Anolis sagrei: one gene and its partners. The protein of the gene in region 3 purifies or fractionates together with the protein of the main gene of each other region. This does not show direct contact. Links are inferred from orthologs where the notes say so. Each region holds a gene or a part of one and is shown on either strand. Other genes may lie near its edges. The genes, in order: ITGB1, CTNNB1, PXN and ARHGEF7.

Region 1 (7,929 bases), on a different chromosome or scaffold from region 3:
CTGTAGAAGTAATGCAGCTTGACAGCACTTTAACTGCCCTGGCTCAAGGACAAGGAATCATGGGCCTTGTAGTTTAGTGAGGCACCAGCCCTCTTTGGCAGAGAAAGCTAAAGACGTTGTCAAACACCTTCCACTATTCCATTGCCTTGAGCCATGGCAGTTCAAGTGGTGTCAAACTGCATTCATTTTACAGTACAGACGCACCCCAAAACTTCTCCAATTACATCCTGCCCTTTCCCTCCTCTTTTCCCTTTCAAAGGCACATTATGCTAACATCACTGATACCAAAACAGACAAAGGGTTGGAAGCCAAGCACTAATAAGAGGAGCATTGAGGGAGGGAGATGGATATGTTTAGCTTGGAGAAAAGGAGATGGAGAGGGGACATGAGAGCTATATTTACATATTTGAAAGGATGTTCCAATGAAGACCACTGCCCTGGATACTAGGGGCGCTTCCACAGAGCCATATAGCCCAGAATGTCAAGGCAGATAATTCACAATATTTGCTTTCAACTGGATTATCTGACAGTCCTTCCAGGCCTCTTCCACACGGCTGAATAAAATTCCACATTATCTGCTTTGAACTGGGATATATGGCAGTTCAAAGCAGATATTGTGGGATTTTCTGCCTTTATATTCTGGATTATATGGCTGTGTGGAAGGGCCCCCACTCAGGCTCTATATCCCAGGATCTGATGCCAGGTTTTCCGCATTAAACTGGATTATAGGAGTCTCCACTGCAAAATAATCTGGGATAAACAGAAAACCTGGAATTTTTTTTCTGTGTCATGTGCAACTTGAGAAACTGCAAGTTGCTTCTGGGGTGAGACAATTGACCGTTTGCAAGGATCTTGCCCAAAGGATGCCCAGATGTTTTGCGTTCCTGTGGGAGGCTTCTCTCATGGGCCTGCATGAGAAGCTGGAGCTAACAGACAGGAGCTCACCCTGCTTTCCAGATTCAAACTGCTGACTTTTATGGTCAGCAGTTCTGTAGGCACAAGGGTTTACCCCAATGGGTTTCAACCTATGAGTCCCCAGGGTCCTTCCACACAGCCCTATATCCTAGAATATCAAGGCAGAAAATCCCAAAATATCTGCTTTCTACTGGGTTATTTGAGTCCACACTCAGATAATGTGGGATTTTCTGCCTTGATATTCTGGGATATAGGGCTGTGTGGAAGGGCCCTCAGATACTTTGGTCTTCAACTCCCAGAAATCCTAACAGCTGGTAAACTGGCTGGGATTTCTGGGAGTTGTAGGCCAAAACACCTGGGGACCCACAGCTTGAGAACCACTGGTTTAACCCACTACGCCACTGGGGATCAGATCCTGGGATATAGGGCCTGTCTGATAGGGTCCTAAGTCCACACCGCCATATAACCTAGGGTCTTTCCACACAGCCCTATATTCCATAATATCAAGGCGGAAAATCCCACGATATCTGCTTTGAACTGGGCTATCTGAGTCCACACTCAGATAATATGGGATTTTTTGCAATGATATCTGGGATATAAGGCTGTGTGGAAGGGCCCTTAATTCAAAGCAGATAATGTGGGATTTTATACAGCTAAGTGGAAGGGGCCCTAGGGGCCTTCCACACAGTCCTATAACTCAGAATATCAAGAGAGGAAATCCCACATTATCTGAGTGTGGATGCAGATAACCCAGTTGAAAGCAGATATTGTGGGATTTTCTGCCTTAATGTTCTTGGGGCCCTTCCACACAGCTAGGGCTATAGGGATATAGGTATCCCAGAATATCAAGGCAGGAAATGTCACATTTTCTGAGTGTGGACTCTGATTACCCAGTTCAAAGCAGATACTGTGGGATTTTCTGCCTTAATGTTCTGGGGGCCCTTCCACACAACCCTATATCCCAAAATATCAAGGCAGGAAATCCCACATTTTCTGAGTGTGGACTCTGATAACCCAGTTCAAAGCAGATATTGTGGGATTTTCTGCCATGATATTCTGGGGTATAGGGCTATATAGAAGGGGCCTTAGCCAGGGAGCAATGGATTCAAATTGCAGGAAAAGAAATCCCATTTAAACAATAGGAAAAACTCCCTGACTGTTGAATAGAATACCCAACCTCGGGGTTTGGTGGCGTCTCCTTCTCTGGAGACTGAAACTGGATGGCTATCTGTCGGGAGTGCTTTGATTGTGCCTTCCTGCGTGTCAGAATGGGCTTGGACTGGATGGCCCTTGTGGTCTCTCCCAACTCTGTGATTTAGAGGTGGCAGAAGCCTTTGCAGCCTGGGTTCCTATGGAAGGAAAGTAGAGCCACAATGAATCAGTTCGCCCACAAATCCGAACTTTGCCGCAACACTGTTGCCTCAAAGGGAGGTGGGATAAAATGTCCCGGTTGTTTCAAGCAGGTGGGAAGGAGGGAAGGCGAGGGAAGGGAAGGGAAGGGCTGGGATGGCCTCCCAACACGAGTCCAGCAATGCCTCTGCCACGCCTTGGCCTCCCTCCTTTCCTCCCAGAAGCTACAAAGACAAGAAGGCCATTAGAAGTTGCGTTAATCCATAGAGAGCAGGCTTGGGCAAACTTGGGCCCTCCAGGTGTTTTGGACTTCAACTCCCACCATTCCTAACAGCCTACTACAGCTCCCAGAAGCCCCCAGCCTGCATTCGCAGGCTGGGGGCTTCTGGGAGCTGTAGTAGACTGTTAGGAATGGTGGGAGTTGAAGTCCAAAACACCTGGAGGGCCCAAGTTTGTCCAGGCCACATGTAGTTGCACCTCAAGGAAGCAGAGTCCTCTTACTTGGGCCATGGCGGCGGTGGCTCTTCCCTGAAGCCTCTCCTCCTTCTCCTCTCTTCTCCTTCCTCTCCAAGGGAGGCCCAACTCTGCGCCTCAAGGCTGGGAAGGGCCAGCAGAAGCGCCTTCCTCCCTGCCTTCCTCCTCTGTCCTCCGGAGCCAGGCCGCCTCTTCAGGGCCGGGGAGAGGAGGGCCAGGCCCAGCTCGCTTCTCTGGCCGCCTCCGGAAACGCATTCCTGGCTGCTGCCGTCAGGCTCGGGGCGGAGCGCTGCCTCGTCGAGGAGGAGGAGGAGGAGGAGGAGCGGGGCTTCCCCTCTCGCCGCCGTCTTGGAAGGGAGGCGCCTCCAGGGCAAGCTCTGCTGCGCCTCCAGGAAGCCGGCTTTGGCCGCCAACTCCACGACTTCAGCCCCATACCGCTTTGGCTCAAGGCTGAGGGAGCCTGGGATTCGTAGCTTGGGGAGGCACCCGCCTCTTTGGGCAGAGAACTTCCACAACAACAACTTCCACAATCCCCTGCCATTGAAAAGTGGTGCCAAACTGCATCACTTCTCCTTTGTCCACTCTTTAGGGAGAGTTAGGCCTCACAAGGCACTAAGGGAAGCATGGGAAAACCCAGGCATGGGGGCCGGATGCGGCAGACCTTTGGGCTCTTTTCACAGCCCTCCCCCCTCATGATCCTGCCTCCTCCCCCCCCCTCTCCCTACCTCCTTCTTTCCCTTCCACCCTTTCATGCTTCCTTCCCTCCCTCCTTCGCCCTCTCTCCTTCCTTCTTTCCTTCCCTCCCTTTTGTCTTCCCTTCCTTCTTTCCTCTTACCCTTCCTCCCTTCCCTTCCACCTTCCTTCTTTCCTCTTTCCTTCCTTCCTTCTCTCTTTCCTGCCTCCTTCCCTTCCCGTTTCCTCCCTCTTTCTTTCCTTTCCACCCTTTCATCCTTCCTTCCCTCCCGCCCTCCTTCGCCCTCTCTCCTTCCTTCCTTCTCTCTTTCCTCCCACCCTTCCTTCCCTTCCACCTCCCTTCTTTCCATACATCTTTCCTTCCTTCTCTCTTTCTTGACTCCTTCCCTTCCCTTTTCCTCCCTCTTTCTCCCTCCCTCCTTCTGTCCCTTCCACCCTTTCAGCCTTCCTTCCCTCTTTCCTCCCTCCTTCCCCATCTCTCCTTCCTTCTTTCCTTCCTTCCTTCTCTCTTTCCACCTTCCTTCCCTCCCCTTCCACCCATCTTTCCTTCCATCCATCCATCTTTCCTTCCTCTCTTTTTCCTTCCTTCTTTGGGGATGTTTAGCTGGGAGAAGAGATGTTAGAGAGGAAACATGAAGCCATGTTTCAAGATTTCAAAGGGTGCCTCATTGAGGAGGAAGGGGGGGGGGGAGACTCACTTTCTGCTGCTCTAAAGACCAGGGCACCAAGGGAGCAATGAATTCAAATGGTAGGGAAAGAGATTCTACTGAAAAGATGAGGAAGAACTTCCTGAGTGTGAGAGCTCTTGCAGAGTGGCATAGTCTGCCTACAAGTGTGGTGGAGTCTCCTTCTCTGGGGGCTTTTCCGCAGAGGCTATCTCTCAAGAATGCTTTGATTGTGCCTTTTTGCATGGCAGGGGGTTGGACTGTATGGTCCTTGGGGGATCTCTTCCAGCTTTAGGATTCTATATCAGGATTCTATACAGTGTCTAATGGATAGACTTTTTCTCTCCTGTTCACCCTCTCATCCTGATCAAGGCCAACCCTTTTGGGATCCAAACATTTCCTGTATTTCCATCACTTTCTGCCTCTGAAAGAGAAGAGGAAAGGGCAGCAAGGGGACTTAGAGAGAACCCCCTCCTTCCTGCCCCCCAATCCCGCTCTGGCTCGCCATGCAGACCCTAATTTAGAAAGTTTACCCATGCCTAATATATATCAAGATGTACTAGAAGGGGCCTAAAGTGTTGCTTCACCTGTTTCCTTCACCTCCATTTCCATTTTGAGTCTCAGTCCTCTTGTCCCAAGCCTCACAAAATTTGGGAAGCTTTCTTCTGGAAGTTTAGGATCCCATGCAAACTCTGTGCTCATAACAACCCAGAATTAATGCCGGTAGTGTTTCCTAGTGCATTTATAGAATGAATGCAATGTGACACCACTTCAAACCTTCCTTGCTCAATGCTAAGAAATTCTGGGAGCTGAAATTTTACAAACTCCAGCCTTCTCTGCCCAAAAGCGATGGTGCCTCACCAAACTACATGGTCTATAATTCCGTAGCCTTGAGCTTTGGCAATTCAAGATGTTGTCAAACAGTGTTCATTCTACAGGGCACATCCACACTTCAGGGGAAATTAGGCCTCACAAAGCACATTGGTGTTGCTGCACCCTTTCCATTTGCCTTCTTGGCTATCAGGAATCACTGCTCTCTTTTCCTATGCCTCAGTAAATCCAGGGTGCCTCTACACTGTAGAATTATTGCAGTTTGACACCACTTGAACTACCATGGCTCCATTCTATGGCATCGTGAGAGTTGTAATTTGGTGAGACAACATTCTTTGTCAGGGGAGGCAAAAGGCTTTTTATGGAGAGAAAAAGCAGAGTATAAACAAACATACTAATAATAAACATAATAATAATAATAAACATAATATTATTATTAATAATACAACTGCAAAGCCTCTGGCACAAGCCAGTCAAGGTGGTCCCAGTGGTGATCGGCAAACTGGGTGCAGTGCCTAAAGACCTTGGCCTGCACTTAAACACAATCGGTGCTGACAAAATCACCATCTGTCAGCTGCAAAAGGCCACCTTACTGGGATCTGCATGCATTATTCGCCAATACATCACACAGCCCTAGACACTTGGGAAGTGTCTGACTTGTGATCCAATACAACAACCAGCAGAGTGTTCTTGTTTGTTGTGGACTTATCTTGTTGTGTTTCAATAATAATTGCATAGTGACAATTCTCAGGATTCCATAGCATTAAGTCATGGCTGTTCAAGTGGTGTAGAACTGCATTGGGTCTCAATCAAGAGATAAAAGCAGATAATAATAATAATAATAATAATAATAATATTTCTACAGTGTAGAGATGCACCCCAAGTCTTTGGCTTTCTTTGCCAAAAAGTTCAGGTGCTTCACTAAACTACAACTCCTAGGATTCCACAGCATTGAGTCACAACATTTAAAGTGATGTCAAGTTGCATTCATGCTGCACTGTAGAGATGCACCCTTAATCAGACATATAGAAGGAAAGCAGAGCTCTACTAACTTGCTTTTTGTTGGTGTGGGATTTTAATAACTGCTTGCATTTAGAGTTTGACTGGTGGGAGCCTTTGTTTCTTTGTTGCAAGAAGTGTCTGTTTCTTCGTTGCATGGTTTTGTCTTTGGGAGGAAACTGAAATCTGTTTTGTATCCAGCTTCTAGTCTGGACCCATCAGCAATCAGTCCTGTTCTCTGTCTTTATTATTATTATTATTAATGACCAGTTTTGGAGCTTTTATTTCTTCCCTGTTCTCTCTATATGTGTTGTCTTGAAGGTGGTTGTCGATGTTCACGTAGCCTAAAGAGTTATTCCAAAGTACATTATTTATCATTTACTTGGTATGACAAATATACTAGCTTGTTATTTTTGTATTCCTGCCCCCAACAGACACTTCTACATGGATTGGTAGAGAAAAAAGCAGCCCTTCCTGCTCTTTTCATTTGGAATATCACTGAAGAGCCTTGAAAAGGCGAATTCTCTTCCCTGTTTCCCTGTTTTTCTGTTGAACAGTCATCAAAGAAGAACTTCACTATCTATTCCAGACACTTAAGTAGTTTACTGTGTGCCATAAAGGGTATATTAAGCATAGAAACAGTAACCTTAATCACCATGTCTACTATTGCTAATGTCTGTTGATGATCAAGAAACTGGATATTTCTGCAGCCAACCGCTTTCATTCTTTTCTGGAAAACACAACACAAGGTTTGGCATTGGGACACAGTAAAATACCAAGGATGCTTGCTTAGCATGCCTGGATAAAAACAGAATATTTCTGCTATCATAACACAACTGACCAAATTTTGCATCTCAAGTGACAGTTTGGATTGAAATGCAGCCATCGTAAAGATTGACTGAGGTTTATAGATATCTCCAACTTTCCACTTTCATATAAACAATCAGTAATATGTGCTGCGTTTTCTTAGAAGTAATTCCTGCTGGCTGTTTCTAATTACTATTTCCACTAGAGTAGGTCAAATATTTTAGGGTTTGAAAAAAACTAGGAAATCATATTCATGCTCAACATTAACCTAATATTTTGGGTTTACAAAAACAACTGAAAACATTTTTAATTAACATGTTATTTCATTAGTATCAAGGATATCTGAATAGGCGTGTTGATGGCATATTACTCATGTTTCTCCAGGTTTGATAGCAAAACTATGATTGAATTATATTCTTATTGTATTTCTGTAGTGATGCCTAGTTTGTGAAGTGATATATTATTGCAGCGTTTCTCAACTTTCCTAATGCCATGACCACTGAATGCAGTTACTCATGTTATGGTGATCCCCAACCATAAAAGTATTTTTGTTGCTACTGCATAGCTGTATTTTTGCTGCTGTTATGAATTGTATTGTAAATATCCGATAGGCAGGATGTATTTTCATTCACTGGACCAAATTTGGCACAGATACTTGATATGCCTAAATTTGAAGATTGGGGTGGGGGAAGATTGATTTTGTCATTTGGGAGTTGTAGTTGCTGGGATTTATAGTTAACCTACAATCAAAGAGCATTCTGAACTCCACCAATGATGGAATTGAACAAACTTGGCACACAGAACTTCCATGACCAACAGAAAATACTGGAAGAGTTTGGTGGGCATTATTCTTGAGTTTTGGAGTTATAGTTCACCTACATCCAGAGAGCACTGTGGACTCAAACAATGATAGATCTGAACTAAACTTGGCATGGATACTCAATATGCCCAAACGTGAACACTGATGGCATTTGGGAAAAATAGACCTAGACATTTTCGAATTGTAGTTGCTGGGATTTATAGTTCATCTACAATCAAAAAGCATTCTGAACCCCACCAATAATAGAATTGGGCCAAACTTCCTACACAGAACCTCCATGACCAACAGAAAATACTGTGTTTTCTGATGGTCTTTGGAGACCCCTCTGACCCCCCCCCCCACGACCCCCCAGTTGGGAAACGCTGTATTATTGCT
Region 2 (7,532 bases), on a different chromosome or scaffold from region 3:
GATAATGTGTCATGTTATTTTTCCGTGGTAGTACTGCTAATTTGAAGTACTCAGTGATGATTATTTCACTGAAGATTATGGATTAAACAACTATTCATTTTTGTTGTTGATATAATCTGTGGATTTATGAAGGAGATCTATATATCTATACAGGAAGGAGTCAACTATCAAGTTAGATAAATTTATCTTATAAACATGCTGTATTATGAGGGGAGCATTTCTAGGTACAGTGAAAGACAGGCATAAAATACTTTAGCAAACGTGTTACATAGTTTTCTGCTGAGAACTGCACTATTTTAGCAGCTTCCAAAATTGCTACTTAAACTGCAGGAACAAGGCAACGCCCTCAAGTTAGGTTAGGCATTCAGGTCAGGAATGCAAACATTTCCAACTTTGATTGGGCATAGTGGAATATTTAAAATTATGCTTGAAGTTTTATTGAAATACCTAGGCTTGTACTGTTACTCCAAGATATCAGGAAATACCATTAGAAAACACTTATTGATAAATCACAACTTCATCTAGATTTGTTTTTACATTCCCATTGACACACATGTCTTGAGCTCTTTTTAAAGGCAGTACTAAATTATTACAGCTTCTTTATACACCTGAAAGACAGAAAGCACAATTCTGTGGATTTAATGTATTTAGGTAACAGCTTTTCATAAGTCATAGCAGTACTCTCAGGACCCTTCCACACAAGCCCTTTATCCCAGAATCTGATCCAAGGGGCCTTCCACACAGCCATATAACCCAGAATATAAAAGAATAACCCACAATATTTGCTTTGAACTGGGTTATCTGAGTCCACACTGCCACATATTCTAGTTCAAAGAAGGTATTCTGGGTTACATGGCTGTACGGAAGGGCCCCAAGATTATCCCAGGTTATCTGGCAGTAGGGGCTCATATATTCCATGTTTCAAGCAGATAATGTGGAATCAGATCCTGGGATGAATGGCAGTGTGGAAGGGCTCTCAAAGTAATATGCAGATACACCCCTCCCTCTAAATATGGGGGAGGGGATAAATCAACTTTCATAGCTAATGCAATTTCAAATTAAATGGCAGGACCAACAGTCCCAAAATATCTTCCAGGTGAGATGTCTAAACAAGCCTTGGGATACTTTCCCCTGCTGGAGACAACAAATGAAATAGTACATTTCCCTGGAATGGGAATGGCTTCCCAAGTGCCCTTCCACACAGCAATATAACCCAGAATATCATCCTAGAATATCTGCTTTGAACTAGATTGTCCGAGTCTACAATGCCACATATTCCAGTTCAAAACAAAATAAATGTGGGATTGTATTCAGCTGCGTGGAAGGCATCCCACACTCTCCCCCTCTGGCTGTTAGAAATTGTGGGAATTTAAGTCCAAAACACCTGGAGGGACAAAGTTTGCCCATGCCTGATCTACACTTTCAAACTGAGCTACAAAACACCGTGATCTTAGTCGGATCCTGTACGGAAGCCTGCCCTACATCTACTATCTACACTTTCAAACTGAGCTACAAAAGGTTCTTGTGGGTTTTTTTGGGGCTATATGGCCATGTTCTAGAGGCATTTTCTCCTGACGTTTCACATGCATACGTCAGGAGAAAATGCCTCTAGAACATGGCCATATAGCCCCAAAAAACCCACAAGAACCTAGTGATTCCAGCCATGAAAGCCTTCGACAATACATTGAGCTACAAAACATTGTGTGCTTAGTCGTATCCTGTACGGAAGCCATCGAAGCCTGCCCTACATCTACACTTTTTAAGTGAGCTACAAAACACGGTGTGTTTAGTCGGATCCTGTACGGAAGCCATCGAAGCCTGCCGTACATCTACCATCTACACTTTTAAACTGAGCTACAAAACATAGTGTGCTTAATCGGATCCTGCACAGAAGCCATCGAAACCTGCCCTACATCTACACTTTTAAACTGAGCTACAAAACATGGTGTGCTTAGTCGGATCCTGCACAGAAGCCGTGCAAGCCTGCATAGTACACTTTCAGGGCTCCAGCAACCAAGAGCGCCCCTCCCGCAAAGTATGCAACCTGAACCAAAGCCAAAAGAAGAGGAACTTCATTGCACACAATGCAAACAAACCCGAGACGATTTCCCATCCCCTCCCCCCGCCCCTCGCTGGAGGTTTGGAGGCGACACCCCGCCAGGAAGTCGGGACGGAAGGGCTCCCAAATCCCATGTCGTGCAAGGCGCCCGCTCGCGAGGCATTGCGGTTTGAGGAGATCTTTTGCAGGGATCCCCACCTCCAGGATCCGCGTGAGGAAGGAGAGAGTTGGGGCGGATCGCTGCCTGGAAACCTCCCTTCGCCTCAACACCGTAGAAAGTACAACACGCAGGCCGAGAAAGCCTCCCCACCGCAGGACAACAAACAAGGCACGGAGCGGCCCTTGTGCAAGGCGATCCCACTGCGAGAACTTGCATCGCGGGCACACAAGGGGCGAGAGGAGGGGGTAGCTCCGTCCCACCCACTCACTCACTCACCCACCCCCCAAAATGGGAGCAAACACGCCGGGACCTCCCCCTCTCGGACCCAACTCTCCCCCTTTCCTGCCTCAACCGCTCCCTCCCTCCTTCTCTCCCTCCCCAAGTTCTGCCCCACTCACTTTGCCATTTCTCCCCGCCTCACACTTATCTCCCCCTCCCTCCAAAACACACCAAAATCCACTCACTTCCTGTAGGGAACACACCGCTGCCTTATTATTGCTCCCTCCGCCAACCTCAAGGAGGAAAAGTAGTGCGACCAAGCCCAAGTTTCTCTGAGGAATGAGGGGAAGCGCGAAGGGGGAGAGAGGAAGCCCCCGAAAGGAAAGAAGCTGCAGCAAACCGCGAACCCTTTATCCCTCGCGTCAGGCGACGGAAACCCCCTTTCTTTCCCCCGCTTCTCACCTCGCCCGGAACGGTCCTTTTCCCCCCGTCGCCGTCGCTCCCACCGAACCAAGAGAGAGAGAGGCTTAAAATGGCGCCGCTCACCAGGAGCCTCTTATAGTGAGGGTGTAGACTTCTCTGTGTATCCTGCCGCCGACGAGCCCCGAGCGCGCGCGCGCAGCATTCCACAAGGTAGAGAAAATAGTCCCCGCTCCGCCCAATCAGCGGCCTGCTTCGTGCTCGCGCACACATACACACACAGAGGCGCGCGCGCCCTCTCTCTCTCTCTCTCTCTAGGAAGCAACTAAACGCGGAGGGAGATAAAGTGAGGGGAAAAGAAGAGCTTCAGTGTGTATCGAGAAGGAAAGGGATTGTGGGAGCGCGCGGGAGGGTGCAGGGATTCGCCTCCGAGTGTAATGAGGCGCGGAGGGGGCTACTTTTGGGAACTGAGAGAGAGAGAGACACCTTTTTCTACGCGAGGAATGAGGCGGCTTCCCGCAACCTGAGGGGAGAGAGGCGCGAGCGCGGGCTGCAGAGCCTGGCTTCTCTCTCTCTCTTTCCCCCCTCCTCCTTTTTTAAAGCTACAGGCACCCCTTTGCATCCTAGTATGGTTTTTATACCAGAAGACTTGTATTTCTTTTATTATTATTTATTTACAGTATTTGTATACCGCTTTTCTCACCCCGAGGGGGACTCAAAGCGGTTTACACATAAGTAATGGCAAAATTCAATGCCACTACAAACAATTAAAATTATACACTACAATTGAAGGAGCTGGGGGTGGTGACGGCCGACAGGGAGCTCTGGCGTGGGCTGGTCCATGAGGTCACGAAGAGTCAGAAACGACTGAACGAATGAACAACAAACAATTAGACATAAATCAAGTTAAAAACAGTGCATCCACAAGTAATAAAACAATCGTTAAAACAATAAAACAGTTTCGTCAGTCAAATCGCCATTCCAGTCATTGTCTTTCTGAAATGCTGCATACATTTCCTTCTACTGCCCAAAGGCCTGGTCCCAATACCATGATTTTAATTTTTTTCTAAAAGCCAGGAGGGAGGGAGCAGATCTTACCTCATTTGGGAGTGTGTTCCATAGGCAGGAAGCCACAGCTGAGAAGGCCCTGTCTCTCGTCCTCGCCAGACGCCTCTGTGCTGTTGACAGGAGCGAGAGCAGGGCCTCCTATGCGGTGGGATGTAGGGGTGGATGCGTTCGGACAAATAAGCTGGGCCAGAACCGTATAGAGCAGTGGTTCTCAACCTGGGGTCCCCAGATGTTTTTGGCCTACAACTCCCAGAAATCCTAACAGCTGGTAAACTAACTGGGATTTCTGGGAGTTGTAGGCCAAAAACATCTGGGGACCCCAGGTTGAGAACCACTGGTATAGAGCTTTATAGGTCAAAACCAGCACTTGTAGTCCCCAATCATGTCGTTTCAGGGAAACCCAGCAAATACTTGGGATGTTATGTCTCCCTCAGGATCCGCGAAGAGGAAACAAAAACGAAGGAATTCAAAAGTTTGTCTTACCTCCTGACTTTTCCAAGCCTTTTTAGTGTTGCTTGTGTGACTGTGGAGTGGAACAGACAACTCCACATCTGTATGTTTGTCCACTGTGCCCTGTCTCATGTACAGAGGAGGAATTGTTGGAGGCTATAGACAATGCCATTGCTGTTGCCCGTTTTGAATCAAAAGATATTTAGCCGCCTGTGAGCCTTCTATTTTTATCAGTTTTATACTAATTCATGCAATGCTTTTGCTACAAAATAAAATAAAAATGTTGCTAGATATGAATATTGTTTGCCACTCCTTTCAAACTCCAGAAGACTTCCATCCTCATGCCTCTCTCAAGGATCATCCAGTTTGAATTGGGAAAGCACAACTGGCCATCACCCAGCCTCTGTTTCGAAGCCTCCAAAGAAGGCGCTTCTTCCCTATCCTTTCAACAAGGCAAGTTGCTGTGTTTACATTAGTGCGTTCTCTTCATAGAAGGCCTTGAAAGGAGCAGAAGGGCTTCAAAAGTCAAAATAAACAGAAAAAGGTGTGGGAAACTTCCTAACAAAAGTCCCCCACATGTTTCCAAACTTCACTCCAGGCTGGAACGGGAAAGTCAACAAGAGAAGTGGATGGGAAGTGTTTCCACATGAGAGAGCCTGCCATTTTGAGGCCTGGAAGGAAAAGATGAAGGGAAGTATATCTACAACAGACATGGGTAAACTTGGGCCCTCCAAGTGTTTTGGATTTCAGCTCCCACCATTCCTAACAGCCTCAGGCCCCTTCCTTTCCCCCCTCAGCCGCTTAAGGGCCCAAGTTTGCCCTTGCCTGATCAACTGTAGGATTAATGCATCTTGGCCGATAAGTTGCTGAGCCAAATTCATCTAAAGCCCTAAACAATTCGGGCCCCACCTATCTCCCTCTATGAACCGACATCTCCCTCTATGAACTGGCACAGACACTAAGATCCACCAGGAAGGCCCTCCTCTCGCTCCCACCACTGTCTCAAGCCTGGCTGGTGCTGACAAGAGAGAGGGCCTTCTTGGTAGTGGCCCCCCAACGCACTCCCCAAGGAGATAAGGCTGGCCCCATCCCTCACCTCCTTCCGTAACATCTTGAAGACCTGGTGGTTTCATCAGGCCTTCGATAAGAACTAGTTTCAAGCCCTTGGTCCAACAGTTAGGAGTTGGCCTTGTACTCCATTCATTCCCCAGTTCCAGGTCATCTGAGGGCACCTTTTCTTCTGGCCTAGACCTTTTTTTATAGTCCTTTAATTGACCCTAGAATTGAGTGGCCCCTAGTAGGGTAATTGCTGAGACTGATCCTTGTACTATAGTATTCTGCTACAATAGAGGAGCTTTTTTGTTGAGTTCCAGGGCCAAAGAACTGCCTGTCTCAGGGGAGCGTGTTTGCTCTATCAATGTTCAACATTTACACAAATGACCAGCCATTGCTAGAAGGGACAGAGTTTCATCTATGCTGATGATCATGCCATTACTGCTCAAGCAGGGAGCTTTGAGATGGTTGAACAGAAGCTCTCCAAAGCTCTAGGAGGGGGCTGAGGATCTACCCTAGCAAACCTTTTGTATCATTATCCCAATATCCCCATGCATATGGGATATATTGAGCATGGTGATCAGGTCAGATTAATGGAACATCTCAGCAAGAGAGAGTCCAAAAGTGGCAGGCTCAAACCGCATATCGCATTATCACGGGGTGTCTGTGCCCTAAACCACTGGAGAAATTACACTTTAGTCAGTATTGCACCACCTGACATCTGCTGGGGTGTAGTAACCAATAGTGAAAGGACCAAGGCAGTGACATCTCCAGCCCACCCCGTTTGGGTATCAGCTAGCACGTCAATGCTTTAAATCAAGAAATAGTTTTCTGAGATCTACAGAGACACTCGCTGGGACATCTCAGCAAGCGAGAGTCCAAAAGTGGCAGGCTAAAACCCAGAACCTCAATCAATGGCTGATACCGGATGAGAGACTCCCTCCTGGGCACACAGAAAACTGGGTGATTTGGAAGGTGCTCTGGCACCACGAAATGCAGAGCCAACCTTAAGAAATGGGGCTACAAAGTGGAATCCACGACATGCGAGTGTGGAGAAGAGCAAACCACAGACCACTTACTACAATGCAACCTGAGCCCTGCCACATGCACAATGGAGGACCTTCTTGCAGCAACACCAGAGGCACTCCAAGTGGCCAGATACTGGTCAAAGGACATTTAATAGAATACCAAATCTGCAAACTTTGTGGTTTGTTTGTTTTTAATGCAATACAACTGTTTTGGTTCGCTCTTGACACGATTAAAAAATGCATTGGCTCAATCCCAGAGTCAATTTGGCGCTTTGTTTACAGCCTTAGCCCCGCCCCCTTGTAAGTGGGCGGGGCTAAGGGCAGGGAGGCCACGTGAGGGACGCTCGGACCCGCGCGCCGCCCTTTCATCCTGGTCTTTGGTGGGGGATTCAGAGAGAGAAAGAGCTCTCTGATGCCTTAAGATAGCTCTCGCTTGATTGATCCCTAATGCCATTAATCCTATGCAAACTGCTGGAGGGGAGGAGTAGGAAGCTTACTTGGAGGGGATACAACCCAAAAGAGGAGGGGGGGGGGGAGTCAGAGTTTCCTTCTGCAGCCCAGATGCAATCCACATCCTGACGCAGGAGCCAGACCCTCTCTCTCTCTATAGCAATCTCATCGGGACTCACGTCTAAATCAGGCTACACAGAAAACGGTTTGTGTTGTGCAACTTAGATTTGTAGTTGTCTGGCGTGGGCGGGTCCCTTAAGTCTTTTGTGGGCGCTGAATGTATCATCTAATTCTAACCCATTTTATTCTCTGTCCCAAGGCAGCAAAAATGCAAGATACTCCACTTTGGCAGAAAAAATGAAATGCGAAGATACAGAATGGGGGACGCCTGGCTCGAGAGCAGTACGTGTGAAAAGATCTTGGAGTCCTCGTGGACAACAAGTTAAACATGAGCCAACAATGTGATGTGGCGGCAAAAAAAGCCAATGGGATTTTGGCCTGCATCAATAGGAGCATAGTGTCTAGATCTAAGGAAGTCATGCTACCCCTCTATTCTGCTTTGGTTAGACCACATCTGGAATATTGTGTCCAATTCTGGGCACCACAATTCAAGAGAGATATTGAC
Region 3 (7,430 bases):
TCTGGAGCGCTCAAGGGCCAGGGCTTCCCAGTTCTTAGTGTCTATGCCAGAGTTTTTAAGGTTGGCTTTGAGCCCATCTTTACATCTATTTTCCTGTCCTTCAACATTCCATTTTCCATTCTTGAGTTCGGAGTAGAGCAACTGCTTTGGGAGACAGTTGTCAGGCAGATGGAGATGATGGCAGAGGACCATCGCTTCAATGCTGGTGGTCTTTGCTTCTTCCAGCACACTGACATTTGTCTGCCTGTCCTTCCCAAGAGATTTGCAGGACTTTCTGGAAGCAGCACTGATGGAATTGTTCCTGGAGCTGCATGTGACATCTGTAGACAGTCCACGTCTCGCAGACATATAGTAGGGTTGGGAGGACAATAGCTTTATAAACAAGCACCTTGGTATCCCTACAGATGTCCCGGTCCTCAAACACTCTCTGCTTCATTGGGAAAAATGCTGCACTCGTGGAACTCAGGCGGTGTTGTAGTTCGGTGTCAATGTTGACTTTGGTGGAGAGGTGGCTGCCAAGGTAGCAGAAATGGTCAACATTATCTAATGTTACACCATTAAGCTGTATCTCTGGCATTGGAGAGGGGTTGGCTGGTGACTGCTGGAACAGCACTTTGGTTTTCTCGATGTTCAATGACAGGCCGATTTTTTGGAGGATGGTCCAGAGAGCGCTGTGATTCACTGTGTCAAATGCCTTTGCAAGGTCAATGAATGCCATGTACAGAGGCAGATTTTTCTTGGAGCTGTTGTGCAGTTAAGACCATGTCCACGGTTCCTCTGGAGTGGTGGAAGCCGTTCTAGGATTCTGGGAGGGTGTCTTCTGAGAGGGGTAGAAGGCAGTTTGCAAGGATTCTTGCTAGGATTTTCCCAGTGAAGGTTAGAAGGGAGATACCTCGATAGTTTCCACAGTCCATTCTTTCCTCTTTTTTGAAGAGGGTGATGATGGTGGCATCCTTGAAATCTGCTGGGATTTTCTTGGTCACCCACACTTTTTCTATGAGCTGGTGGAGTTGTTGTGTCAGCTCAGGTCCTCCCTCTTTAAAGATTTCAGCAGGGATCCCATCAGGTCCTCTGGCTTTGTTATTTTTTGTTGGTTGATGGCATTGCTGACTTCTTCCAGATTAGGCAGTGCTGCAAGCTCATCCCTGGTTTGTTGTTGTGGGATTTGTGAGAGAACCTTTTCGGCCACATTGGAGCTGCGATTCAGGAGAATTTGGTAGTGTTCTTTCCAACGTAGTGTAATTGATTTTTGGTCCTTCAGGAGTTTGGTTCCATCTGATGAGTGTAGAGGCTGTGTGCCATGGTTTCTTGGTCCATAGATGACATTTGTGGCTTTGAAAAATCCCTGAGCATCATGGGTATCTGCCAGGTGTTGGATTTCTTCAGCCTTCTTTGTCCACCAGATGTTCTTGAGTTCTCTTGTCCTTCTTTGGACCTCAGCTTTTGCACTGGTGTAGATCTTTTTCTTAGCAGCACAGTTGACGTCTCTCTGCCATGTTTGGAAGGCTTTCCTTTTCTTGTCAATTAGCTGTTGGATCTCGTCATTTTCATCAAACCAGTCTTGATGCATCTTGGTTTGGTATCCAATACTTTCTTCACAGGCTGTGATGATGGAGGTCTTCAGTTTATTTCAATGTTCCTCAACATTTTCGGGGTGTTCTGTGGGTAGATGGTCCTTGAGTGCTGTTTGGAGATGGGTTCAATTTGAGGGCTCCTGAAGGGCTTGGGTGTTCATTTTGCACCTTGTCTTTCTTCCTTGGAGTCTGCGCTTGGGTTAGGATTAGCCTGTGGTCTGTCCAGCAGTCGTCAGCACCTGTCATGGCTCTTGTGAGGAGCACGTCATGGCGGTCTCTGGCACGTGTGATTCCTTAGTCTAAGAGGTGCCAATGCTTTGACCGGGGGTGCTTCCATGATGTCTTGAACTTGTTTTTTTCTGGCGGAAGAGCGTGTTGATGCCAAGGTTGTGTTCTGCACATTTGGTGAGAAGCAGGATGCCATTCAAGTTGCTGTTTCAAACCCCGTCTTTTCCTATGGTCCCTGGCCACAGGTCGAAGTCTCGCCCGACTTGCATTAAAGTCCCCCAGGAAGATGATTTTGTCCTCCTTAGGTATCTCCGATAGGACGGTGTCCAGCTGACAGTAATTTTTTTCCTTGATGTCTTCATCAGCATCTAGTGTTGGTGCATAGGCACTTATGATGGTTGCCTGTTAGTTTTTGGCAAGTTCAATTCGGAGGGTTGAGAGTCGTTCATTGATGCCAGTGGGTGCTTCGGTCAGATGTTTCACCAGATCATTTCTGATAGCAAAGCCAACTCCGTTCATTCTTTGGTCTTCTTCGGGCAGTCCCTTCCAAAAGAAGGTGTAGCCTCCTTTTTCTTCCTTCAGCTGTCCCTCTCCTGCTCTCCGGGTCTCCTGAAGGGCTGCTGTGTCGATGTTAAAGCATCCCAACTCTCTTGCAATGATGGCAGTTCTGTGTTCGGGGTGTTCACTGTCAGTGTTGTCCATCAGTGTCCGTACATTCCATGTACCAAAGTTCATTTTCCTTTTTTGGCCGCAGGGTGGTGACCCCACTGGATGCGGCAGTCCAGTCAGGGATAAGAGAGGCAGACTATGTTTAGGGCACCTTTTCTAGCCCCTTCCTCATGTGGGGTGAGCAGAGTGGATCCTCAAAAGGGCTACTCAGTCATGGATACAGCTGCCGAACTACTCAACTGCCTCGGACCTTGAGGTAGAATGACTGAGTCCATATCCATCCATGTGCCAGTCTGTGACTAGGGGCTTCCATATTTCACAGTCCTGCCCCCGTCACCACTCGCTGATCGCCATGGGACTTTTGTAGGTTTGTTTTTATTTTCTTTGGAAGACGCCTGTGCATGAGTTTTTTTAATGTGCGGAGGTCAGTGCACACTGATCAACACACAGTCTTCACAGAGTGAGGTTCCACTGGTGATGTAGTTTAACACAATGACCGTGGCTTCTCAATCTGTTGCAGCCTTCTTCCGTCTTCACAGCCATTGTAACATGTACCATATTATCCTCCGCCTGCTCTGCCATTGAGGTCTTTGGGTCTTCAGACTGTGCTTGGTCTGGAACCTCCCCCGTGGCCACTCCTGGGATTGCACGATTCCAGTTGTTGTGCCTGCAGTTTCATTGGAACACGCAAGCCCCCTCACCACGACAAGGTGACAGTCCATCGAGGGGGACGAACATAAATATATATACAGTATATATAAGAATGATTGACAACTGGAAAATAGAGGGAGAAAACGTGGAGGCCGTGACAGACTTTGTATTTCTAGGTGCAAAGATTACTGCAGATGCAGACTGTGGCCAGGAAATCAGAAGACTTCTTGGGAGAAGAGCAATCTCCAGTCTCGATAAAATAGTAAAGAGTAGAGACATCACACTGGCAACAAAGATCCGCCTAGTCAAAGCCATGGTATTCCCTGTAGTAACCTACGGATGTGAGAGCTGGACCTTAGGAAAGGCTGAGCGAAGGAAGATAGATGCTTTTGAGCTGTGGTGTTGGAGGAAAGTTCTGAGAGTGCCTTGGACTGCGAGAAGATCCAACCAGTCCATCCTCCAGGAAATAAAGCCCGACTGCTCACTGGAGGGAAGGATACTAGAGACAAAGTTGAAGTCCTTTGGCCACATCATGAGGAGACAGCAAAGCTTAGAGAAGACAATTGTGCTGGGGAAAGTGGAAGGCAAAAGGAAGAGGGGCTGACCAAGGGCAAGATGGATGGATGGCATCCTTGAAGTGACTGGAGGACCTTGAAGGAGCTGGGGATGGTGACGGCCGACAGGGAGCTCTGGCGTGGGCTGGTCCATGAGGTCACGAAGAGTCGGAGACGACTGAACGAATGAACAACAACAATATATAGACAAACATAAATATATATATACAGTAAATGACATAGATAAAAACACAAAAATATATTTTTAAAAACTTGCATCAGGCATAGTTTGGTGAGGCATGAGCATTCTTGGGCAGAGAAAGCCACAGAAATAATCAAACTTCCAGGATCCCATAGCAATGAGCCATGCCAGTTAAAGCATTGCCAAATTGCACTTATTCTGCTTCCTAAAAGAAGCATCAAAGAATGTCATGGGTTCTGTCTCCTTAGGCGTAGGCACTAGGCAGATATTCTCTGAACACTTCTGGTCTCCTGCATTTGTCTATAGTAGTACACCATTTCCCAGATTTGCACAGAAGCGATTGAACACAGCTTCTGCCTAGGCCTTCTCTGCCCCGCTCCCAATTCTTTCCTTGCGCCTCCCAGGCGCTGCCACTAGGGGAGTGGGCGGCGCTGTCGGGCCGCCTTAGTTTTCGAAGGTGCCTTCTGCGCGTGCGTCGATGCTCGCGCCCCGAGGGGCGGTCCTGGCTGGGCCAGGGGAAGGGAGGGGGAGAGGGCAGGGGGCGTCGCGCGCAGGCGCGGGGCGGCCAAGCAGAGGCCAAAGTTGCGGCGCCTCCAGTCAAGCGGCGGTCGGAGCGGGGAGCGGCGGCGGAGGAGGAAACATGGACGACCTGGGTGAGCAAAGAATCCGCAAGGCCAACCCAACTGGGGGGGGGGGGGGGTACGCCTTTCCCCACCAGACTCTCCACAAAACTACCACAATGCTCGTCTTTCTCCTCAGAACTCCTCACTCAACTCCCAGGATGCCCATCTTTCCCTTCAGGACGATCACAATTCCCATCTTTTCCCTCAGAATGATCACAGTGCTCCACAAACTCCCCAGAATTCCCATCTTTCCCCTCAGAATTATCACAGTTTCCCTCACAATTCCCATCTTTCCTTTCAGAACTATCACAATTCCCGTATTTCTTTCAGAACTATCACAATTTCCATATTTTCCCTCAGAACTACTACAATTCCCATATTTCCCCTCAGAACTATCACAATGTCCTCCAAATTTCCCCTCAGAACTATCACAGTGTCCCCCACAATGCCCAAATTTCCTCTCAGAACTATCACAGTGTCCCTTACAATTCCCATATTTCCCCTCAGAACTATCACCATTTCCCTCACAACCCCCAAATTTCCCCTCAGAACTATCACAATGTCCCCCAAATTTCCCCTCAGAACTATCACAGTGTCCCTCACAATCGCCAAATTTCCCCACAGAACTATCAATGTCCCGTCACGAATCCCATGTTTCCCCTCAGAACTATCCATTCCCATCTTTCCAATTAGAACTATCACAATGCTCCTTACATTTCTCTCTCTCAGCTCTATGCCTTTGCTCAGTTCCCCTCCAAGCACTCCCTCCTTCTTTTATGTTTTGTTTTGTTATTTCCTTCTCCCTTTACTGGTGGGTTTTTTTGTTTGCTTTTGTTTTTTGGAGAGTGGGAGAGCAGTCTGGTTGGTGCCTTACATTAGAATCCTCCCCAGAATCCCTGTCCCAAGTTTTCAGTTCCTTTCTTCCCCTTTCGCCTCGGTTTCCCCAACCTTACTTTCCACACAATTCTCTTGCATTAGGAAGTCTTCCCCTCATCTAAACTCACACCTCCTTCCTTTGCCTTGAGCTTCTCCCAAATGCTTGGGACCAGTTGTCTTTTGGGATTTTGCCTGTTTTCCCTTTCAATTTGAGAAGTGTTTGCATAGGCATAGGAGATGGGATCCAAGTCCAAGCTCCACATTCCTTTCTGTTTCATAGACACCTTAGAAACACAGCCAGGAGGTCTGTTTTTCATATTGTGGGGCACAAAACAAAGTTTGTTACAGATGGAAACTCACGTCCAAACTCCACATTTGTTGCTGTTTCATAGATCTTTGAAACACAGCTGGAAGGTCAGTTTACACACCATTTAAAAAATACATTTCTGCGCGAAACAAAAGTTAACTACCTTGAACCGTCAGAAAGCAAAGTGTTTGCTATTGCAACATTTTGGGATTTTGGAGCATTTTGGGGATTTGGGAAAAGGGCTGCTTAACCTGTATTTTTATGTTCCTCACCTCTGTTCCCAGTCCTTTTGCTCATAACCTCATATTTTCTCCTTAGGTCTCTTTTTTTTACAAAACCAAAATTGGGAGAAAAGTATTCTGACATGTGTCCTCCTCAACATGCTTTGGGGAAGGAAGAGAAAATGACCGATCGAGTAAAATCAAATATTTTTCTTGATGTACAAAAATTTCAGGCTGATCCTCTAGGAAGCAACGATAACCTAAAAATAACAGCGTAGTTCCCATTCTGCCAACCAAAATGTGATGCCAAGTAGTGAGCAAACTTTTGAATCCCCCCAGGAGTTCAGCATTCTGGTTTTGCTTAAAAACCAACCTGCAGAATTGCTTGGAAGAAGTTCACAGTTCGCATACTATTCTGTGTAATATTTTTATTTAGCCCTAATAAAGATGTTTGTCTTGCAGTTGCTTTCAGGTTGCTGCATTCTGAAGTGGAAGATTCTTTTGGTTGAACAAAAATGAGTTGAACAAGCCTCTTCTGTTGGCTTTAATATTGAATAACTGCTGTTGAACGTGGAATTGGATTCTGTGTAAACATGGTTAAGATTGGGGATGACAACATGGTTCAATTCAAGCTATGTATATGGCGTTTTGCAAACCTTGGATATAAGTTCTTGTTAGCAAAGAGTCTTTTCAAATGAAAAAGTCATTTTATTTTGTAAATTTTCTGAATTTTTACAAAAACAAACAGGTTGATCGCTCCTTACTTTTTGATATATCTCATAATATGGCTTTAGGGATATTCTTTCTGTACAAAAACCTGCAATGAATAAGTTAAAAGTTTTCCATCTCTTACTTTCCTTTAGGCTAAATTCAATTTTAGTCCCAACTCCAACGACTCACTGCAACGAATATTACTTGGTTCATCACTTTTTCTGCAAGTACCATTTCAATAGATGTAGTGAAGCTGTATGTAAAACTTAATCTAGCCCCTAGCTTACCCTCAGGCTCTGAAAGCTTTTTCACTTTGCCACTTCCCCAGTCTAGACTCAGAAATTGCCTGGACATTTGCCAGTGTATATGTATTGTGGTCTCAGTTTACTCTTCCTTCCATGTTGGCATGTTAGACTCCTATTGTGATTGTTTCCCTTTGCCAGGTGTACCTCATACCCCAGGCCTGCACACAATACCAAAAAGTACGTTCCATAGAACTTAATGGAGCCTACTTGTGAGTAAACACAAGAGTGCATTTAGTATGGCCACCCCCCTTCCCGTCTGCAAAACTTAGCCTTGGTTGGGATGGTTGTAAAAATGGTTCACAATCCAAAAAGTAAGTTGAGTATCATGTTATACTTTCAGCCTTTTTATGTGCTGTGTTTAAATGCTTTTGCCATCAGTGTCTTGCAAATGCAGCCATTTTCATATATATTTTCCACAATTCTAATTGTATTGCAGCAGCCAGTGGGAGTTACCAAAAATGTTAAATGTCTGAATAGTCCTGTTTAGTTTCTGGCAGCCTCTTTTCCCT
Region 4 (7,934 bases), on a different chromosome or scaffold from region 3:
CCAGATAATCTGCAAAAAAAGTTACTTGCTAACAAGCTTAGAAAGCATCTCAAAGATAACCTTGTGAATTTTTTTCACCCACAAGATATTTCTACCCTACACTTGAAGACTGTGTCATATGATGAACACAGTAGGTTGCCATTTTTAAGTGGATGGCTCAGTAGTATTTAATGAATGTGATGAAGTGGATAGTGTCCTGTAATTCAAAGTCAATTTGAGAGCAATTATAAAAAACAAACCACTCTTGCCAATAGCCACTCTGCCCCCTAAAGGCTACTGTCATGCAAATGATACTCAAAAGATACAAAGATCTATGAAATAATGCCAAAACTTCAGGTTAGGATATCCTTTCCAAAAGACAACAGTTCCTCTCTTATGTCAAGTTCACATTACCATGGAACGTCTTTAAAAAAAAAAACTAGCCTGGGCTTCCCATTCCCACCAATGAAAGAGAATAAAAGCAAAACAATATGTAGGTCAAAGTTCACCATAGTTTATAGAGGGGGGAATCAATGAACAAGCACCAATTTTTCCAGAACTGTAACCAGGGAAATTGAAATGCAATGTGCTAATCAGAATATCTGGTTCTTAGACAAAGAATAAAACACACATCTGTAATCACTTGAATTGAAACAATATTTTAAAGGCTTGTTGTGAGTTTTCCGGGCTGTATGGCTATGTCCCAGAAGCATTCTCTCCTGACGTTTTGCCCACATCTATGGCAGGCATCCTCAGAGGTTGTGAGCTCTGTTGGAAACTGGACATTCCAGATATATAAACCACACTTGCCTAGTTTCCAACAGACCTCACAACCTCTGAGAGTGCCTGCCATATATGTGGGCAAAATGTCAGGAGAGAATGCAACCCAGTAATTCCGGCCATGAAAGCCTTTGGCAACATAATATTTAAAAGAACAAACATTCAAGAATATTATGGTTTTTACATGAATATTATGGATTTTCCAAGAATATTATGAATCTTACAAAAATATTGTGAATTTTACATTTTGAGACAAGAAAAAAAACCCCACACAAACCAATATTTTTTCCAATTTGAACAGATTTAGAAAGCATCAAGTAATGAAATCTCAAAACTAAAATCTTGGAGAATAACACACACAAACTGTGCCTTTGCAAATTAGGTCAGCATGTTGCAACGCGAAGTGCTAGAGAGACACACCTCATTTAAAAAAGGACTTATTTAAGCAACAGGGACTGTAGTGGCTCCTTCTAGTCTACCCATCTAATATTGCACATCATTATATCCACATCATAGAGACTTCTGACATAAATCTTGTGAAGGCTTTGACATCCCATTCAAAACGAGGGCCCGAGAGCTTGTCCATCCTGTCAATAGCCAGCCCTGAGTGTGGTGGAGGCTCCTTCTTTGGAGGCCTTCTTTGGAGGCTGGATGGCCATCTCTCTGAGGTGCTTTGAATGCTATTTCCCTGCTTCTTGACAGGGGGTTGGACTGGATGGCCCACAAGGTCTCTTCCAACTCTAGGATTCTATGACTATCAAAGAGGCCAGAAAATTGGCCTTTGGATCTGAAAAAGACTCCTAGCATCAAAACCATGCGCCTTGTTCATAGACCGCGAAGGGATCCCATTGGAGGCCCTTCATCCCTGCTGTAAAAGCTTCCTGCCTCTTGGCCTTGATGTGATTTCTCATTAAAGAACAAGGGATGCCCTAAAACGAGCATGTTTTCATTCAAACAGGATGGGGGGAAAAGAGCCACCATCTGCTGTAGATCTATCAGGTGGGGCTGAGCATCGCTCCTAGGGCAGTGCACGGTTTTGTGGGCGATCTGGGCCCAACCACATGTGTTTTGTCATGATTGAGAACCAAAGGAAAGCTCCTTTTGGGAGGGGTCCACCTCCCAAGGCAGGCAGGAGCTGCTCAGCCCCAAACTCTGTCTCCCTCCCAAGAGAGAAGCCCCCTCCCATGCCTTGACAATGGCGCCTTCCCAGCGAGAAGGGAAGGATGTCAATGCGAGGGGGTGAGGAAATAGGGTGGGGAGGGGGCTCCCCTTAAAAAGACCCCCGTTTCCTGCCTCTGCAAGGCTAATGCGGGACAAAGGAAAGTGCTGGGCATTTCCCCCAGCCTCTCTTGTCTTCCCCAGTCTGGAGGGCTTTGCGGAAAGCGGATCGGGAGGGGGAGGAAAAGGGGGGTGTCGCTTGATCCTGCCCAGATCCGAAACTGTGCCATGCGGGAGATGAGGGTGGGGGGTGGGATACTGGGGGAAGCAAAGGAAAGGAGGAGAGAGAGAGAGAGAGACCCCCAACCTCATCCTATACCCAGGGGATAGTGGATACTAGGGGAAAGGAGCAAGGGGAGAAAGGGAGAGGGAGACCCCACCAGCCTCATCCTAGACCCAGGTTCCCCCTCTCAGTCTCAGTCTCAGTCTCAACCCCCTTCCCCCCCTTCCGCGCAGGGTTGGAAAGCGGGGGGTCCGCGTCCGATCCGGACTCACCTTGTCGATGGTGCCGGGGAGGAGGCGGTCGAGGAGCCTGCAGAGCACCACGCCGTCCTTGAGCGAGGCCTGCAGGAAGCCCTCCGGGTCCGAGATGCTCTTCTTGGGCGACTCCAGCACCCCCAGGGTGATCAGCCATGTAACGGTCTGCTCCGCGGAATTCATGGCTGCGGCGGAGGAGGCCAAGCAGAGGAAAGGCGGCGAGGGGAGGGGAGCCAGGCCCCGGAACCCTTTATCCCAATCCAATCCAGGGGGGGGGGGCAGCAGGGCTGCACAAATAGCACGGCTGGGGGCGTCTAATTTCTCAATAATCGGAGGGGGGGGGCGGTTGATGTCTTGGGGAAGACCCCTCTGCCTGCCTTGCCTGCCTCCCTCCCTCGCTCGCTCGGCAGCCAGCCCACCTTCCTCCCGGGCTTCACATGGAGGAGGCGCCCCGCTCCGGGCCTGGCTGCCTCCTCCTGGCCATGGAGCCGCGGGGGGCCGGCCCGGTTCCTCCCTCCTCCGGAGCCTCTGGGCCCAGGGACAGGCGCCTCCTCATTACAGGCACACACGGACCTGCAGGGCCGCCACCGCCGCCGCCGCCTCTATCCTCCTCCCTCCTCCTCCTCCTCCTCTTCCCCTCCTCCCTCCCTCCCTCCTGCTGCCTCTCCATGACATCATTGAGGAGGGAGGGGATGGGGAGGGGAGGGGGAGAGGAGAGGAGGAGGAGGAGAAGGAGGCTCAGCCCCCCTCCTCTCCTCCAGGAGCCCCCGCATAAAAGCCGCCACCCTTGCCTTGGCCAAGGCGCTGAGGATGGAGGGATGGGTGTGGGTCACCCTTATGGGCACCCGCAGAGAGACCTGCCCCGCGTCTCCCTCTCTGCGCTGCGAAACCTGCCCCCCCCCCCGCCCTCAAAACCGGCGTCCACGGGATCCCTTTGCTTCGCTTTCCATCCCGAGGAGGGCGGGGCGGGGGGGGGGGGAGAGGATAGATGTAGGTAAGTAGGTAGTAGGTAGGTAGCTCTATAGACAGATCTAGGTAGATAGGCAGGCAGGCAGACAGACCTAGGTAGAGAGGTAGGTCTATACAAATAGACAGACAGATCGATCGATCGATCTAGGGAGATAGGTAGGTCTGTATAAATAGACAGATCTAGGTAGATAGGTAGGTCTGTGTAAATAGACAGATAAATAGATAGACAGGCAGACAGACCTCGATAGATAGATAGATAGATAGATAGATAGATGGATCTGTGTAAATAGATAGATAGATAGATAGATAGATAGATAGATCTAGGTAGATAGGTAGGCCTGTATAATTGACAGATGGACAGATAGATAGATCTAGGTCAATGGTTCTCAATCTGTGGGTCCCCAGGTGTTTTGGCCTACAACTCCCTGAAATCCAAGCCAGTTTACCAGCTTATAGGATTTCTGGGAGTTGGAGGTCAAAACATCTGGGGACCCACAGGTTGAGAACCATTGCTAGGTAGATAGGCAGGTCTGTAAAAACAGATAGCTAGCTAGCTAGATCTAGGTAGATAGGAAGGTCTGTAAGAATAAACAGACAGACAGATCTAGGTAGGTAGGTAGGTCTGTATAGATAGATAGATAGATCTAGTTAGATAGGTAGGCCTGTATATATAGAGGATCAATTGAGAGATAGATCTAGGTAGATAGGTAGGTCTATATAAATAGAGAGATAGATAGATAGATAGATAGATAGATAAGAGATAGATAGGTAGGTCTGGGACCAGAGTGAAGAGAGAGGGCCAGGAAGACAGTTCCACCTCATCTCCTGCGCTATGCTAAATAATTTAATATAATATAATGTACATATACATATAATATTTATAATATTATAATGTAATACAATATAATAATACTACTATGAATAATATGTTATTATAATTATATATTTTATATTACATGTAAAATTGCTATATTGTACTGTACCATTGTATTGTAATATTATTACAATAAGATGGTGTAGTACAATATGTAATATATAATACTGATATTGTGCTATGCTAATAATATAATATATTGTATGTATATATATCTTGTAAGCTGCTCTGAGTCCCCTTCAAAGTGAGAAGGGTGGCATATAAATGTCATAAATAAATAAAAACAGATAGGTAGGTAGGTAGATAGATAGATAGGTCTGTAAAAATAGATATAGATAGATAAGAGGTATATAGGTAGGTCTGTAAAAATAGACAGACAGATAGATAAGAGGTAGATAGGTCAGTCTGGATAGATAGATAGATAGATAGATAGATAGATAGATATAGATAGATGTGGTAGGTAGGTCTGTAAAAACAGATGGATAGATAGATCTAGGTAGATAAGTAGGTCTGTATAGACAGATAGATCTAGGTAGATAGGTAGGTCTATAGAAAAAGACAGATAGACAGATAGATAAGAGATAGATACGTAGGTGTGTATTGATAGGTAAATAGGCAGATAGAGTAGATGGATAGAGTTGGGCAGATAGAGAAATAGACAGATCTCGATCAATAGACTGATAGATAGATCCATGTATCTAGATAGAGAAATAGATGGCTAGATCTATGCACATGGGTAGATAAATGCACATGCGCTCCCTCCTCCTATATACATTGGGAGGGAGGGAGGGAGGGGGGCGCACCGCACACACCAATAGTCGCATCCCGCCAGGTGGCTGAAACACCATGTTAGAGGGAGGAGGGGGGTGTAGCGGCGGCGGCGGCGGCGGCCTTGGTGCGCCTCCCACGACGTGAACCAAACAGATCCACCCAGCTGTCACTTTGCAGCACCAGAATCCGAATTCAATGGGCAGCCCGTTGCCCAAGCTGTCAAGCGCTTGACATGCGATCTCTCCAATTCATTTTAAGAGCACTAAGGGAAAGGGGAGCGGCGGGGGGGGGGGTGTTATTTCAGCGGAGCCTCCTCCCCACCCCATCCCGTCGACCGACCATGCGGATCCCTCCCGGGCCACCTGAAGGAGCGGGGGAATCTATCGGTCACGAATTAGATTTCGGGTCTGTATTCAGCAGGCTGGGATCCGGCCTCGGGCGCCCCCTGGCGACGAATTGCTTTGCGCAAAGGCGCGAGTGAATGAGCTCATCCCATGGAAATAGCAGCAGCAGCAGCTAGAGGTAGGAAAGGAAACGGGGGGGGGGGGGGGGGGCTTGGGCTTCTTCCTTTTCCTGGCGGCAGAGAAACCTCACAGACAAATGAACTGGTTTCCTGTCTCTAGGAATAGATTTTTAAAGGTATATCTTCTCCCCCCACTTAAAAAAAAAAAAAAAACACTAAAAAGAGCAATAATTACCGATCTTAAAATACATGGAATCACTGATGCAATGACAAATAGACTCCCCCCTAGTCTAAAAAGATTTGAAAATAGACTACCAAAAGCATTAGAAATACAAATTGTTCATTAAACAGTTCCAAATGGATTAAACGTATGGGCATCTTGGCCTGATGTAAACATCAAAGCAAACTTTCACAAACATATTATTATATGTATATGTATTTATATCAGGCATGGGCCAACTTGGGCCCTTCAGTTGTTTTGGGCTTCAACTCCCACCATTCCCAACAGCCAATAGGCTGCTCATGCCTGATTTATATCCTGCTTTCTCACTCTAAAATGAAACCCAAAATGGCTAACAATACATTACACAATTTAAAACCTCAAAAACTTAACACTAAAATAGGATTAAGATAGGAGGACTTGTCACTGCAAGCTATTGTTAATTTTGCCAACTTCATGATATTCATGGGGGGCAATTTATTTTCCTCTATTGCATCCTTAAATATTAAGACTGTTTGTGGATTGTGGGGCAGTTGAAGCTGTAGAGCAGAAGGACCTGACGAATGTTCTGTAACATTTGTAAAATTATAGAGATGCAACAGGTAAATCAAATAACTGAGATAATTCAAATAGGAACCATGTAGATCAGTGATTCCCAATCTGTGGTCCATGGACTACCAGTGGTCCATAAGAACTAAAATATGGTCCACAGTCTCACCATTACTATACCGTTGCAACAAGAGTGACTGGTATCGCAAAACCCTCTTCTAGTGCCAAGGCTGATTAAATATGGTTTTCTGTGGGTGAGCAGATGGCGTCTACTGGATGTCATACGTTCTGGATCACAAACTAGAGCTGATGTGGTCTATCCAATGCAATTTCCTGAATCACCACCTCAGATAACCAAAACGAATCTAAAGTTGACCAAAAACTTATTTGTAACCCTTTTAGTACTAATGTTGGAGAGTGGTCCCTGGTCAAGTGGTCCCTCGTCAAAGAAAGGTTGGGAACCATTGGTATAGATAAACAGTGTGGTTACACATGTCTAAGTTACAAGTAAATGGGCAAAAACTATCAAGTTTACAAAAGGATCAACAGGACAGAAGAGTGCTGAGTCTTCATCCCTTGATGCACACATTTTGTTGATGTGATTGTTGTATGCCTTCAGGTCATTGATGATATAGGGTGATCTTAAGGTTTACTTTCCCCATCCATTACTGGTGTAATCCTTAAATATGAAGACTATTATAATCATAGTGTCTACTGAGAATTGTTACCCCAGATGTCCAATGTACTTCATTCCCAAGGAACTGCACAGAATGGATTGCAGACACCTTTTTTTTTATTCTGGTCAACCCTAAGGTGAGCCTATCATGGGCTTCTCTTGACAAGATTTATTGAAAGTATTTTGCCATCGGCTCCCTCTGGAGCTGAAAGAGTAGGACTTGCTCATGGTCACCGACAATTTTCTATGACAGTGTTTCTCAACCTGGGGGTCGGGACCCCTGGAGGGGTCACGAGGGAGTGTCAGAGGGGTCACCAAAGACCATCAGAATACACAGTATTTTCTGTTGGTCATGGGAGTTCTGTGTGGGAAGTTTGGCCCAATTCTCTCATTGGTGGGATTCAGAATGCTCTTCGATTGCAAGTGAACTATAAATCCCCCCAACTACAACTCCCAAATGTCAAAACACACACACACACCCAACCCCACCAGCATTCAAATTTGAACATATTGAGTATTTGTGCCAAATTTGGTTCGAAGAGTGGAAATACATCCTGCATGTCAGATATTTACATTGCGATTCATAACAGTAGCAAAATTACAGTTATGAAGTAGCAAGGAAAATAATTTTATGGTTGGGGGTCACCACAACATGAGGAACTGTATTAATGGGTCACGGCATTAGTAAGGTTGAGAAACACTGTTCTATGACCAAACAAAGTGGAGTCCATGACATGTGAGTGTAGAGAAGAGCAAATCACAGACCACCTAATACACCCCCTACCAACCCCAGAGATCCCTCCGTTCTGAGGACCAAGATCTATTGGAAGTCCCCAGTGTCAAGACCTTGTGTCTAACAGCAACGAGACGCAGAGCCTTCACAGCAGTGGCCCCATCACTCTGGAATACTCTGCCACCTGAAGTCCGTGCCTTGCGGGACTTACCAGCTTTCCACAGG

Evidence for each region.
Region 1: the proteins of PXN (region 3) and ITGB1 purify together in Homo sapiens (affinity purification with western blotting; 3 studies listed by BioGRID and IntAct, with this or other methods). This does not show direct contact. The link is inferred for Anolis sagrei from reciprocal best matches to the Homo sapiens genes PXN and ITGB1.
Region 2: the proteins of PXN (region 3) and CTNNB1 purify together in Homo sapiens (affinity purification with western blotting; 3 studies listed by BioGRID and IntAct, with this or other methods). This does not show direct contact. The link is inferred for Anolis sagrei from reciprocal best matches to the Homo sapiens genes PXN and CTNNB1.
Region 4: the proteins of PXN (region 3) and ARHGEF7 purify together in Homo sapiens (affinity purification with mass spectrometry; 3 studies listed by BioGRID and IntAct, with this or other methods). This does not show direct contact. The link is inferred for Anolis sagrei from reciprocal best matches to the Homo sapiens genes PXN and ARHGEF7.

The regions. Positions count from the first base shown.
Region 1 is NC_090026.1:112,675,164-112,683,092, forward strand, and holds the start of ITGB1 (integrin beta-1), read right to left. Parts: upstream 3,012-7,929; 5' UTR 2,776-3,011; coding exon 2,767-2,775; intron 1-2,766.
Region 2 is NC_090026.1:76,601,297-76,608,828, forward strand, and holds the start of CTNNB1 (catenin beta-1), read right to left. Parts: upstream 3,015-7,532; 5' UTR 2,901-3,014; intron 1-2,900. UniProt on the Homo sapiens protein: Key downstream component of the canonical Wnt signaling pathway.
Region 3 is NC_090034.1:45,993,972-46,001,401, reverse strand, and holds the start of PXN (paxillin), read left to right. Parts: upstream 1-4,422; 5' UTR 4,423-4,518; coding exon 4,519-4,531; intron 4,532-7,430. UniProt on the Homo sapiens protein: Cytoskeletal protein involved in actin-membrane attachment at sites of cell adhesion to the extracellular matrix (focal adhesion). Recruits other proteins such as TRIM15 to focal adhesion.
Region 4 is NC_090023.1:109,923,648-109,931,581, forward strand, and holds the start of ARHGEF7 (rho guanine nucleotide exchange factor 7), read right to left. Parts: upstream 3,006-7,934; 5' UTR 2,638-3,005; coding exon 2,473-2,637; intron 1-2,472. UniProt on the Homo sapiens protein: Acts as a RAC1 guanine nucleotide exchange factor (GEF) and can induce membrane ruffling. Functions in cell migration, attachment and cell spreading. Promotes targeting of RAC1 to focal adhesions. May function as a positive regulator of apoptosis.